Sus scrofa: one gene and its partners. The protein of the gene in region 1 interacts with the protein of each later gene in a biochemical or structural test. Links are inferred from orthologs where the notes say so. Each region holds a gene or a part of one and is shown in the gene's direction. Other genes may lie near its edges.

Evidence for each region.
Region 2: the proteins of CDK7 (region 1) and GTF2H3 form a complex in vitro, tested with the Homo sapiens proteins (2 studies listed by BioGRID). The link is inferred for Sus scrofa from reciprocal best matches to the Homo sapiens genes CDK7 and GTF2H3.
Region 3: of the proteins of CDK7 (region 1) and GTF2E1, one has a biochemical effect on the other in vitro, tested with the Homo sapiens proteins (3 studies listed by BioGRID, with this or other methods). The link is inferred for Sus scrofa from reciprocal best matches to the Homo sapiens genes CDK7 and GTF2E1.

The regions. Positions count from the first base shown.
Region 1 is NC_010458.4:47,430,729-47,434,384, forward strand, and holds part of CDK7 (cyclin-dependent kinase 7), read left to right. Parts: intron 1-1,271; coding exon 1,272-1,421; intron 1,422-3,656. UniProt on the Homo sapiens protein: Serine/threonine kinase involved in cell cycle control and in RNA polymerase II-mediated RNA transcription. Cyclin-dependent kinases (CDKs) are activated by the binding to a cyclin and mediate the progression through the cell cycle.
Region 2 is NC_010456.5:29,345,382-29,349,037, reverse strand, and holds part of GTF2H3 (general transcription factor IIH subunit 3), read left to right. Parts: intron 1-2,228; coding exon 2,229-2,291; intron 2,292-3,146; coding exon 3,147-3,176; intron 3,177-3,269; coding exon 3,270-3,298; intron 3,299-3,656. UniProt on the Homo sapiens protein: Component of the general transcription and DNA repair factor IIH (TFIIH) core complex, which is involved in general and transcription-coupled nucleotide excision repair (NER) of damaged DNA and, when complexed to CAK, in RNA transcription by RNA polymerase II.
Region 3 is NC_010455.5:139,571,446-139,575,101, reverse strand, and holds part of GTF2E1 (general transcription factor IIE subunit 1), read left to right. Parts: intron 1-2,522; coding exon 2,523-2,947; 3' UTR 2,948-3,656.

The DNA.
Region 1 (3,656 bases):
GTTCTCCATTTTTATAACTTTGTCATTTCAAGAATATTATAAATGGAGTCATATAATATGTAAACTTTTGAAATTTACTTTTTTTTTTTTCCACATTCAGTGTAATTCTCTGGAGATTTATCCAGGTTGTTGTGTATCTCAGAAATTCATTGTACCAGTTTGCCTAACTATTTGCTCATTGAAGGACATCTGCATTGTTTCCAGTTTTACTATAAACATTCATTACAGGTTTTTGTGTAAGCACAAGTCTTTTTTTATCTGGGATAAATGCCCAGGAGTGCAGTTGCTGAGTCATGGTAGTTGCATATATAGCTTAAGAAACTGCCAAACTACTTTTCAGAGGGGCTGTATTCATATTATAGTCTCACCAGCAGTATGTGAGTAACCCATTTTCTCTGCATCCTCTCCAGCATTTGGTGGTGTCACTTTTTTATTTTAAGCATTATGAGGGGTTTGTAGTGATAGCTCATTGTGATTTTAATTTTTTCCTCCTTAATGACTGCTGATGTTGAATATCTTTTCATATGCTTATTTGTCATCTGTGTAGCTTTTTTTTTTTTTTTTTGGTCTTTTTTTAGGGCCACACCTGTAGCATATGGAAGTTTCCAGGCTGGAGGTCTAATTGGAGCTGTAGCTGCTGGCCTAACGCCACAGCCACAGCGACTCGGGGTTGGAGCCGTGTCTCTGACCTACACCACAGCTCACAGCAATGCCAGATCCTTAACCCACTGAGCAGGGCCAAGGGATTGAACCCTGTGGCCTCATGGATGCTAGTGAGATTTGTTTCCACTGAGCCACAATGGGAACTTCTCATCTGTGTAGCTTTTTTTTTTTTTTGGTCTATTTAGGGCCGCACCTTAAAAAAAATTTATACAAATTTGAGAACTCTAGACCTCCTTACAACATTGAATCCTCTAATCCATATGATAGATTTTAGCATTTATTTGGAGCTTTGATTTTGTTTCATCAGAGTTGTACAGCTTTCATTATATGAGTCCTACACATTTTGTTAGACTTTCATTCACCAAAGCATTTCATGGTTTTTCAGTGGTTCTAAATGGTATCCACATGTTTATTGTACAGTTGATTTTTTTGGAATCATTATCTTCCTGTAACATTGTTCACTTAGTTCTAAGAGATTTTAAATAGATTTCTTGGGATTTTCTACATAGATCATTGTATCATGTACACAGCCGTTTTATTTTTTCACTTGAGGTCTATATACCTTTCAATAGGTATGTTCTTAATGAATTATAAAAATATTTTTACAGGACATGTGTAGTCTTCCAGATTTCGTGACGTTTAAGAGTTTCCCTGGAATCCCGCTACAACATATCTTCATTGCAGCAGGAGATGACTTGCTAGATCTCATACAAGGCTTATTCTTATTTAATCCATGTACTCGAATTACAGCCACACAGGTATTTTAACATATCTTTTGATTTCTTAATGTGTTCTAATATTCTTAAAATACTGAAAAGATGGGGTTCTGGTTTTTTTAACTTAATTTTTTATTGAAGTATAGTTGATTTATCTGTTTTGTTTTAAGGAATAACAGATTTCATCTTCTCCCTAAGCTACAGACACTGTTCAAGACTGGTATTAAATTATATAATGTACATGCAGGTGCAGGAGAGTTTACTCTTGCTTAGGAACATATAAATACACTTCTATTTGATAATTTGCTTTCAACTTGAAAGTTTACTTAGGAAAAATATAAGGTTTTTGTATTTGTAAAGATACTGGTATATTTCAGTTAAATTCTTATGTGTTAACTTAAATCTCGTGCCAAAGCCTGTGCCAAAAGTATTTTGTTCAGTTTTTTCCCTATAAAATGCAGTCTAGATGTGCATGCTGGTCATTGTGGCAGTCCAAAAGTGATAATGGGAGTTCCCACCAGGGTGCAGCGGAAAAGACTCCGACTAGGAACCATGAGGTTGCAGGCTCGATCCCTGGCCTTGCTCAGTTAAGGATCTGGCGTTGCCATGAGCTGTGGTTTAGGTCACGGATGCAGCTCGGATCCTGCCTACAGCCTGTGGTGTAAGCTGGCAACTGTAGCTCCGATTTGACCTTTAGCCTGGGAACCTCCATATGCTGAGAGGTGAGGCCCTAAAAAGCAAAAAAGAAGAAAAAAAAAAGAAAGTGATAATGGAAAAGTTTTTTTTTTTTTCTTTGTTTTAAAAGCCACACACACAAAAGAAAAACAAGCACACACAAGTGGATGGAGTTAATAACACTTAAAATTGAGGCAGGGAAATGCAGTGCAAAAATGCAACACAGTACAATGATTTGGCTTCATAAAAGGAGAGACTGAAATGTCTCAGATCTTCATACCTGGCAGAACATGTTAATGCACCATATATCAGGGATACAAAGTGGATTTTTTTTCACTTAAATTTATTACAGACTCATTGTTTAACTCATTTATTTCTATTATTAGCCTTCTCTTCTTAGCAGCATGTGCTACATTGATGCATATATACTATGTATTTTACCATTGGAATTACCCTTCTAATTTCAAACAAGTAACTCATTTTTACTTTTTCACCCAGGCGTATATACATATTATCTCCAGCATAAGAAACTTGAGGCCAGATAAGATTATCTAGAAAGTTATTATCATAAACAATAAAACTCAAAATTTATAGAAAAATGCTAATTGTGATAACTTGTTTGGGTTGTATATTGATAGAATGAATTTATTTTAATGGGTTTTGGCTTGTGGATATTTAAAAGTTGAAATGAGATATTCTTTCTTTCTTAGATCTCTTTGTAGCTCAGAATTAGCTTAATTTACTTAGGAAACTGCTACGATTTGGAATTAATGCTTTTTGTAAGTGCAACTCTTTTTTTTTTTTTTTTTTTTCCCCCCCATTTCTTGGGCTGTTCCCTGTTGACATATGGAGGTTCCCAGGCTAGGGGTCGAATTGGAGCTGTAGCCGCCGGCCTACACCACAGCTCACCACAACGCTGGATCCTTAACCCACTGAGCAAGGCGAGGGATCAAACCCACAACCTCATGGTTCCTAGTCAGATTCGTTAACCACTGAGCCACGACGGGAACTCTGAAACTCTTCTAAAATAAGAAATCTCTAAATTATTCCTGCAGATAATACTATGTTGACTGGTGGAAGGAGGTATTAAAGTTTATATGACTTTTTTTGTTCCTTAGAGAATTATCCAAAAGGAAATGTCCTAAATTAATGTGGCTCTTGAACAGTACTACGATGCAAATAAAGTATGAACTTGACAATTTTGTCATCTAGAATAAAACTTTTTATTGGAATTTTGGACCTGAGTGGAAATATCATATTATAGAATATTGGACTGGTAGTAAATAGAAATAACCTTGGGCAAGTATTTCCAAGAAAATTACTGTCAATTTTAGTGGATTATTGGATTTTAATCCATTGTTTCCAACCTATTGCATCTTTTAAAAAGTTTTATTTCTAAGAATTTAGATGAGATGGTGAGTCCCCTATAGCACAGCGTGTTAAAGATCTGGTGGTGGTGTCACTGCAGAAGCCTGAGTCACTGCTGTGGCACAGGTTTGATCCCTGAAACATCCATATGCCATGGGAGCAGCCAAAAAAAAAAATACATGATTTTGAATTTGAATACATATAGATGTTCTGACAAATAAACTTGAGAGTTCT
Region 2 (3,656 bases), on another chromosome or scaffold:
TAATACCCCCCATTGTGACAACCAAATGTCCCCCATGGGGCACAGTTGCCCAGGTTGAGAGCCTTTGCTCTCCATCATTGTAGACAGCTTCTTTTTTTTTTTTTTGTCTTTTTAGGGCTGCACCCATGGCATATGGAGGTTCCCAGGCTAGGGGATCAAATCAGAGCTGTAGCCATGGGCCTACACCACAGCTACAGCAACACCAGATCCAAGCCACATCTGCGAACTACACCACAGCTCACGGCAACACAGGATCCTTAACCCACTGAACAAGGCCAGGGATCGAACCCACGTTCTCATAGATAATAGGTTCGTTAATCACTGAGTCACAATGGGAACTCCTGTAAACAGCTTCTTAACTGACTCCTGCCTCTCCTGATTCAAGTCTTTCCACCCTGCCTCTGGAGTAATTATCCTCAAAATCAGCTGCTTTACCCTGGCTTAAAGCCTTTTACTGGTTACCTGTTCTCTACTGGCAGTGGTTTCAAACTGTCTCCTGTGTCCAAGTCACCTTGAAGAAAAAAGGCAACTCTAGAGACGGAAAGTGGATTAGTGATTTCTGGGGGCTGGGGAGGAGCAGGAAAGTTACTGGGAATGGGCCCAGGTGGTCTTTGAGGTGATGAAAATGTTCTCAAATTGGATTGTGGTAATGATTTAAAGCTCTATAAATTTACTAAAAATCATTGACTTGTGCACTTAGAGCAAATTTTGGAGTACCCTTGTGGCCCAGTGGGTTAAGGACCCAACATTGTCATTGCAGTGGCTCAGGTCACTGTTTTGGTGTGGGTTCGATCCCTGGACCAGGAACTTCCCATGCCACAGGTACGGTCAAAGAAAAGAGAATGAATTTTGTGGTCTGTTAGGTTATACCCCGATAAAAGTGTTAAAAGCCCCCTGGAGGGCTTGTTAAAACAAAGTGCTGGGCCCCACACCAGAGTTTCTGATTCTTTGGGTCTAGGGAGACCCCAAGAATTTGTATTTCTATCTCAGGTGTTATTTCTGCACCGATTCTAGAATCACAGTTTTGACGCCGCCCCCACCGTGGTAAAGTCCCAACTTCTAAGAGGTCTGAGCTCCCCATAGGTGTCAATGCTCCTGGATCAGTTGCAGGCCCTGTTTACACAGGGTGTCAGTCTGGGCTCCCCACCTTGAGCTGAAGGTTTAGAATTTTGGTTTTTATAAGAGTGACTTCTTTTCTCTCAAGTCTCCAGAGGACTTGTGACTTCATCTCTGTTCCCCACAGTCAGGGGAGTTTCTCCAGTCCTGTTTTCACTGGTCCCGCTTTCCTGAGAGGAAGGGGGAGAAGGAGGTGGTGGGAAACGGTGGGGGCCTGGCCCGGCACCACTGTCCAGACTGCCTACAGTTGCACATGACCTTTTGTATCACTTAGATCATTTTTTTTTTTTTGGGGGGGTCTTTTTGCCTTTTCTTAGGCCGCTCCTGTGGCATATGGAGGTTCCCAGGCTAGGGGTCTAATCCGAGCTGTAGCCGCCGGCCTACGCCAGAGCCACAGCAACGTGGGATCCAAGCCACGTCTGCAACCTACACCACAGCTCACAGCAACTCCAGATCCTCAACCCACTGAGCAAGGCCAGGGATCGAACCTGCAACCTCACGGTTCCTAGTCGGATTCGTTAACCACTGCACCACAATGGGACTCCCTGTATCACTTAGATCATTGAGACACCAGAACCTTTCCAAATAACACCAGGATACTTTTTATTATTTATTTTTTATTGTGGTATACAAATACCAACTAATAAAGAATTTACCATTTTAACCATTTTTCTTCTTTTTGGCCACATCTGTGGCATGCAGAAGTTCTTGGACCTGAGCTACTGCAGTTATAACACTGGATCTTTAACTCCTTGAGCCACAAGAACTTCCCATTTTGACCATTTTTAAGTGTACAGTTCAGTGGCATTAAGTACATTCACATTGTTGTGCAAACACCACCACTATCCATTTCCAGAACTTTTTCAACATCCCAAACTGAAACTTTATGCTCATTAAACAATTCCCCACCCCCCACCCCCACTTAAGCCTCAGACCACTCTGGTATTTTAAATTGAGAAAATGTTTAAAAATCGCTTACCTATGTTTTTAAACTCACTTTGAAAATGTCATCTGATTTCATTCATGAAGAAGCATGCTTTGGGTTAAAAATGATTTTTAGTGCAAGAAAGTACCTAAAAATTCCCTTTTTAATTTTTTTTTATTATTTCTAGGTGACATAGAGGGTCAACATACAGAAACTCTGCTGGCGGGATCCCTCGCCAAAGCTCTCTGCTGTATCCTTGCTGTTTTAGCCTAGTCAGAAGGGGTTTTTTGGTAATAGAGCCATCTTAACTTGAGATATTTCTTAGAACCTTGGGTGCCCATGTTTAAGGGAAGGCATATGTATTCTAAAGTGGTAGATAATAAAAAAATAGTTTATCTTGCCTTTCAAATGCTTTTAGGACAAACTGTAAGAACCAGAAAACTCTAGTTTCTCCAGTGTATCTTCCTTACAATGAATTATTCTTCAGGATGCTTTGTTTCTTATTAGACAAGTTAAAAATTTTTTTTCATCTCTCTTGTGTTGGAAGCAATGTTTGATTTTAAAAGCCGTTTACTGGCCCTGGGGCTTGTTAAATGAGTAGCTGCTTTTCCACAGGTGTATGGGTTATTTTGCCCTCCTTTATAAGCACTTTGATTAACTATGTTTGTATGATATTTTCTCAGTCTTACGTAATTTAATTTGTACAGTATTAATTTCTCTGTTCCAGACTGTGATTTGGGGGTATCTGATCTTCTGTGTATGGTTTTCAAATTCATTTTCATTTGATTGGCTCATTGATTTACTTCTGGTCCCCATATTCAAATCTAGGACATAGTGGATAATCCTAGAACCATCATTGGTAATTTTAATTTTCTGGGACAAAGGTCATCTCGGTCAGGTTACAAAGCCCACTTGATTGCAGAGTTAGTAATTGGAGGCGCCCAACCACTCTTCTTTTGCATGTTTATCATGGCATTGGAGCTTTTCCTTTTTTCAGCTTGGTGGATGCTGGATTTATTTAACTAAAATTTAAGTTATTTTTTTCTATTTACTATTAATATTTATGAAATAATATTTTAAAACTCCTTAATGCTAAGAAAATAAGACATTCATAGAATGAACAAGGAGGTTAAAGGTAGGAGCCTCTGTTTTTCTATGGGACTATAATCTTTATTTTACTACTGCAACTTTGAGGGACTATTTATAATCTATTTTTATCTCTTTATAGATAATCAGGAAATGAAATCAAGGATATTGGTAAGATAAAAAGAAAATACTATGTTCATATACCAACTGTAGCCAGTGAGAAAACAATGGGAAATTAGACCCATTTATAATAGAAGCAATAAATGTTAAGTATCCAGAATCATTTAATAAATAATGTGTAAAATTGATGGGGGTGAAAAACCAAATTTCTGAGAAACATAAAAGCATTGAATATATGGATAGTAATATATATGTATATATTTTTTATTTTTATTTATTTATTTATTTATTTTGGTCTTTTGTCCTTTTTTTTTTTTAGGGCCGCATCTGCGGCATATGGAGGCTCCCAGGCTAGGGATCTAATCGGAGGTACAGGTGCCAGCCTGCTCCAGAGCCACAGCAATGCCAG
Region 3 (3,656 bases), on another chromosome or scaffold:
CCTTTATCTGATAGCTTGGATCAGGTTGTTCAGTATATTTTTGATTTTTTTTCCCTGTAGGCAGGTTTTCTTACACTTGCCAGTATTGAAATAGATCTGCCACATTGCTGCCATTTACACAAGCTTCAGCTTTTCCTGTGTTTTTGTTTGTTTTTTGCTATCGGTTTGGCCTTTAAGCACCCAGAATTGCTTAGCATCATCAGTGAACTTGACAGTTTCTCAGTATATATCTTTGTAATTTATAAATCTATGAAATAAGATTGTTCCTAGAACTAATGTTTCTACTTTATCATCTAGAGATTTGTTCATTTATCCTTATTTTTCATCTTCTGTCTTCATCTATAACAGAACAATTCCTTTTTTTCTGAAGCCTCTCTAGACCCTTGTCAGAAATCTTTTAGATATGACTTCATTCAGTTTACAGAATTAAATTCCTTTTCCCATAATTTTATATTAACTTTAAACATTAATCAAAATCCTGTGTTGGTAATGTTAAGCTATTTGGAAAATTATTTTAGAAGCATGTAAGCCTGAGAGACTTATATACATTCCTTGTTCTTTTTCCTCTTGTAGTACTGCTTTGGCAGTAAGAGCTCTAAGGAGGAAGTTCAGCTTTTGGCAGTGTTTTAAAATAGTTAGATTTTGATCACTTTTACATTGATGTTATCAAAAACCTGTTTTCTCTGACCTAAACTTTTAACTTCTCAATTCCTGTTTCCTTTTCCCTCTCTTATCTGCCCAATATCTCATCTCAGGGCTTTTATATTTTCTAAAGTTTCCAGGGTTACAGTTAATTCATTCTGATGTTTTAATGAGAAAATGCTTTCACTTCATCCATGGCCAGAATTGGTCATTTCTGAGTCTTCTTTTGATAATGATAATAGATAACACTAAGTTCCAGGCCCTCACAAATATTCACTTAATACCCACAGTAATACAGTGAGATAGATACTATTTTACTCTTTTTTGTACTTGAGAAAATGGAAGCAGAAAAAGATGAAGTAACTTGGCCAAAATCACATGGCCAATAAATGTTAGAGTTAGGACTTGAACCAAGGAGTCAATAATTAAAACATTATAATTATGTAAAGTTATCCTTATATTAAAATATTATATAAATAAATAAATATATGTTTGTTTGTTTTTCACCACACCCATAGCATGTGGAAGTTCCTGGGCCAGGGATAGAACCTGTGCTTCAGTTGCAGCCTGAGCCACAGCTACAGTAACACCAGATCCTTAACCCACTGCACCACATGGGAACTTTGATAATTCTTTTATATATTTTAAATGGCATTATGTTTGTATTATGTTTTTCTTAAATTTCATCCATAATATACACAAAAGATAATAGAAGGTGTGTGGTGGGAGAAGTTTCATTTCTTACTAGATTCCTAGATAAAGAGATCAAAGTACACTTAATTTGCCTCAGGAAAATAAAACTGCCATTTATTCAGTCATTCATCAAATATTTATTCAGTACCTAACAAGCGATAGGGACTATTCTGGGTGCGTGGGATATATTACTGAATAAAAAAGGTAAATATCTATTGTGGTGGACCTACATCTGTGGAGAGTAGGTGACAAAGATAATAGACATAAATTACTATGTTAGAAAATAAATGCTATAGGGAAAAATAGAGCATTGAGAATATAGGGGTAGGGGTGAATTAAAAGAAAGTGAAATTTGAGTAAGGTCATGAGAGATTGTAAGAGAGTATGGATACCTAGATGGAAAATATCCCAGGAAAAGGAAACGGGCAGTGCAAAGCCCTGAGGTCAGAATGCATATGGTGTGTACAAGGAATACTGTGGAGGCCACTGTGACTAGGGCAGGATGAGCAAGTGATAAGAGAGAAGTAGGTGGGCAGGAGGAGTTCCAGATAATGCAGGACTCTGAAAAAGATGAAGAGCCATGTTTTGATTTCCTATTATGCCACCTACAAACTTGGCCCTTCATAGACGTTATTTCATTTGTTCTGATTGAGAGCCCTAGAAGCTTTTATCATCCCATTTTATAGAAAGAGGTATCGAGGTTTAGAGACTAAATAACTTGCCTAGAGAGTTACATCTTGCATGTGGAAGAACTAGGATTCAGATCCAAGCTATATACCTCTTAAAATCCATGTACAGTTGCCCCTTGAACAATGCAGGGCTTAATCTGAGTATAACTTATTTCCATGGTTTCCTGCATCTCCATGGTTCAGACAACCACAGAACGTGTACTACTAGTATTTATATTAGGAAAAAAAAAAAAACATGTATAAGTGGAGCCTGCAAAGTTCAAATCCACATTGTACAAGGGTCAACTGTACTTAACCATTATGCTACTTAAGTTCTAGTTTGTAAGAAACATTTTGGCTATCATATGGACAGTAAGTAGCTCAAAAAATGGAATTACTGAAGTCTTTGTTATTTTGTATCATCCTATATTTAAATATAACATATTAAAATACTGTGTTAGTTATAAAGGAGTGCTTTTTTATAGTTAAGGTTTTGACTTTCTGGTTTTTTCCTTCCAGGTGGCATAGATATAGACTCATTTCAGGAGCGTGAGGAAGGCCGTGCAGGGCCAGATGACAATGAGGAAGTCATGCGAGCACTGCTCATTCATGAGAAGAAGACCCCCTCTGCCGTAGCAGGCTCAGTGGGGGCGGCTGCTCCTGTGACCACTGCCAATGGTAGTGACTCTGAGAGTGAGACCAGTGAGTCAGATGACGACTCCCCACCCCGACCGGCAGCTGTGGCTGCACATCATGGGGAAGAGGATGAGGAGGATGATGAATTTGAGGAAGTAGCAGATGACCCCATTGTCATGGTGGCTGGCCGTCCGTTCTCCTACAGCGAAGTGAGCCAGAAGCCAGAGCTGGTGGCCCAGATGACACCAGAGGAGAAGGAAGCATACATAGCAATGGGACAGCGCATGTTTGAGGACCTCTTTGAGTGAGCTTTCCCTCCTTTTCCTCCTTTCTCTAATGCTCATTTCAAAAAAAAATTCCCTACCTTTGAAGAAAACTATTTAAGTGGCTTTCTGTCCCTCTTGATGTAAAGCAGCTTTTAATCTTGCACAAAGAATGATGGGAAAGTTTGATTTTTATGCCAGAAACTTCCCCACAAGGTAGGTTGGCTATAAGCATTCCCTTCCCTATTACTACAGTGTTAATATTTTGCTGTATTTCCTTATCTAATCTTTTTCCTTTCCTTCTGAAATAAATGTGTGGAGTCTATAAAGTAAATTCTTCCTATCTGCTTGTAGAAGCCCACTATGACATGTTACAGCAATTCACTGATCACCTCCTTTTTATCTATTCTGACCAAGCATTCCAAACAGCTCCTGATATTGCTACCAATCAAGCAACTTGTCAACAGGCAAATCATTGATGAAGGAAAAAAAAATCTTAAAACTTCATGTTGCCTCACGATCGAGGATGGAGTCAATGCTTAAGGGGAGGTGGGAGTGTATGTGGAAGAGGGACGGCTCTGTCTAAATCTCTTGATGTTATCTAAACAAAAATTTGTGTCCTTAGAAGTGACTTTACTGAGAGATTCTATTAGTTTGCTAAATGCCTTTTGGTTTGTATAAGGGATAATAGAAAACAGAAAGTGTGTTTGGTAAGCCCTTAGGAAGAAATTAGAGAAAAAACATGCACTTAGGA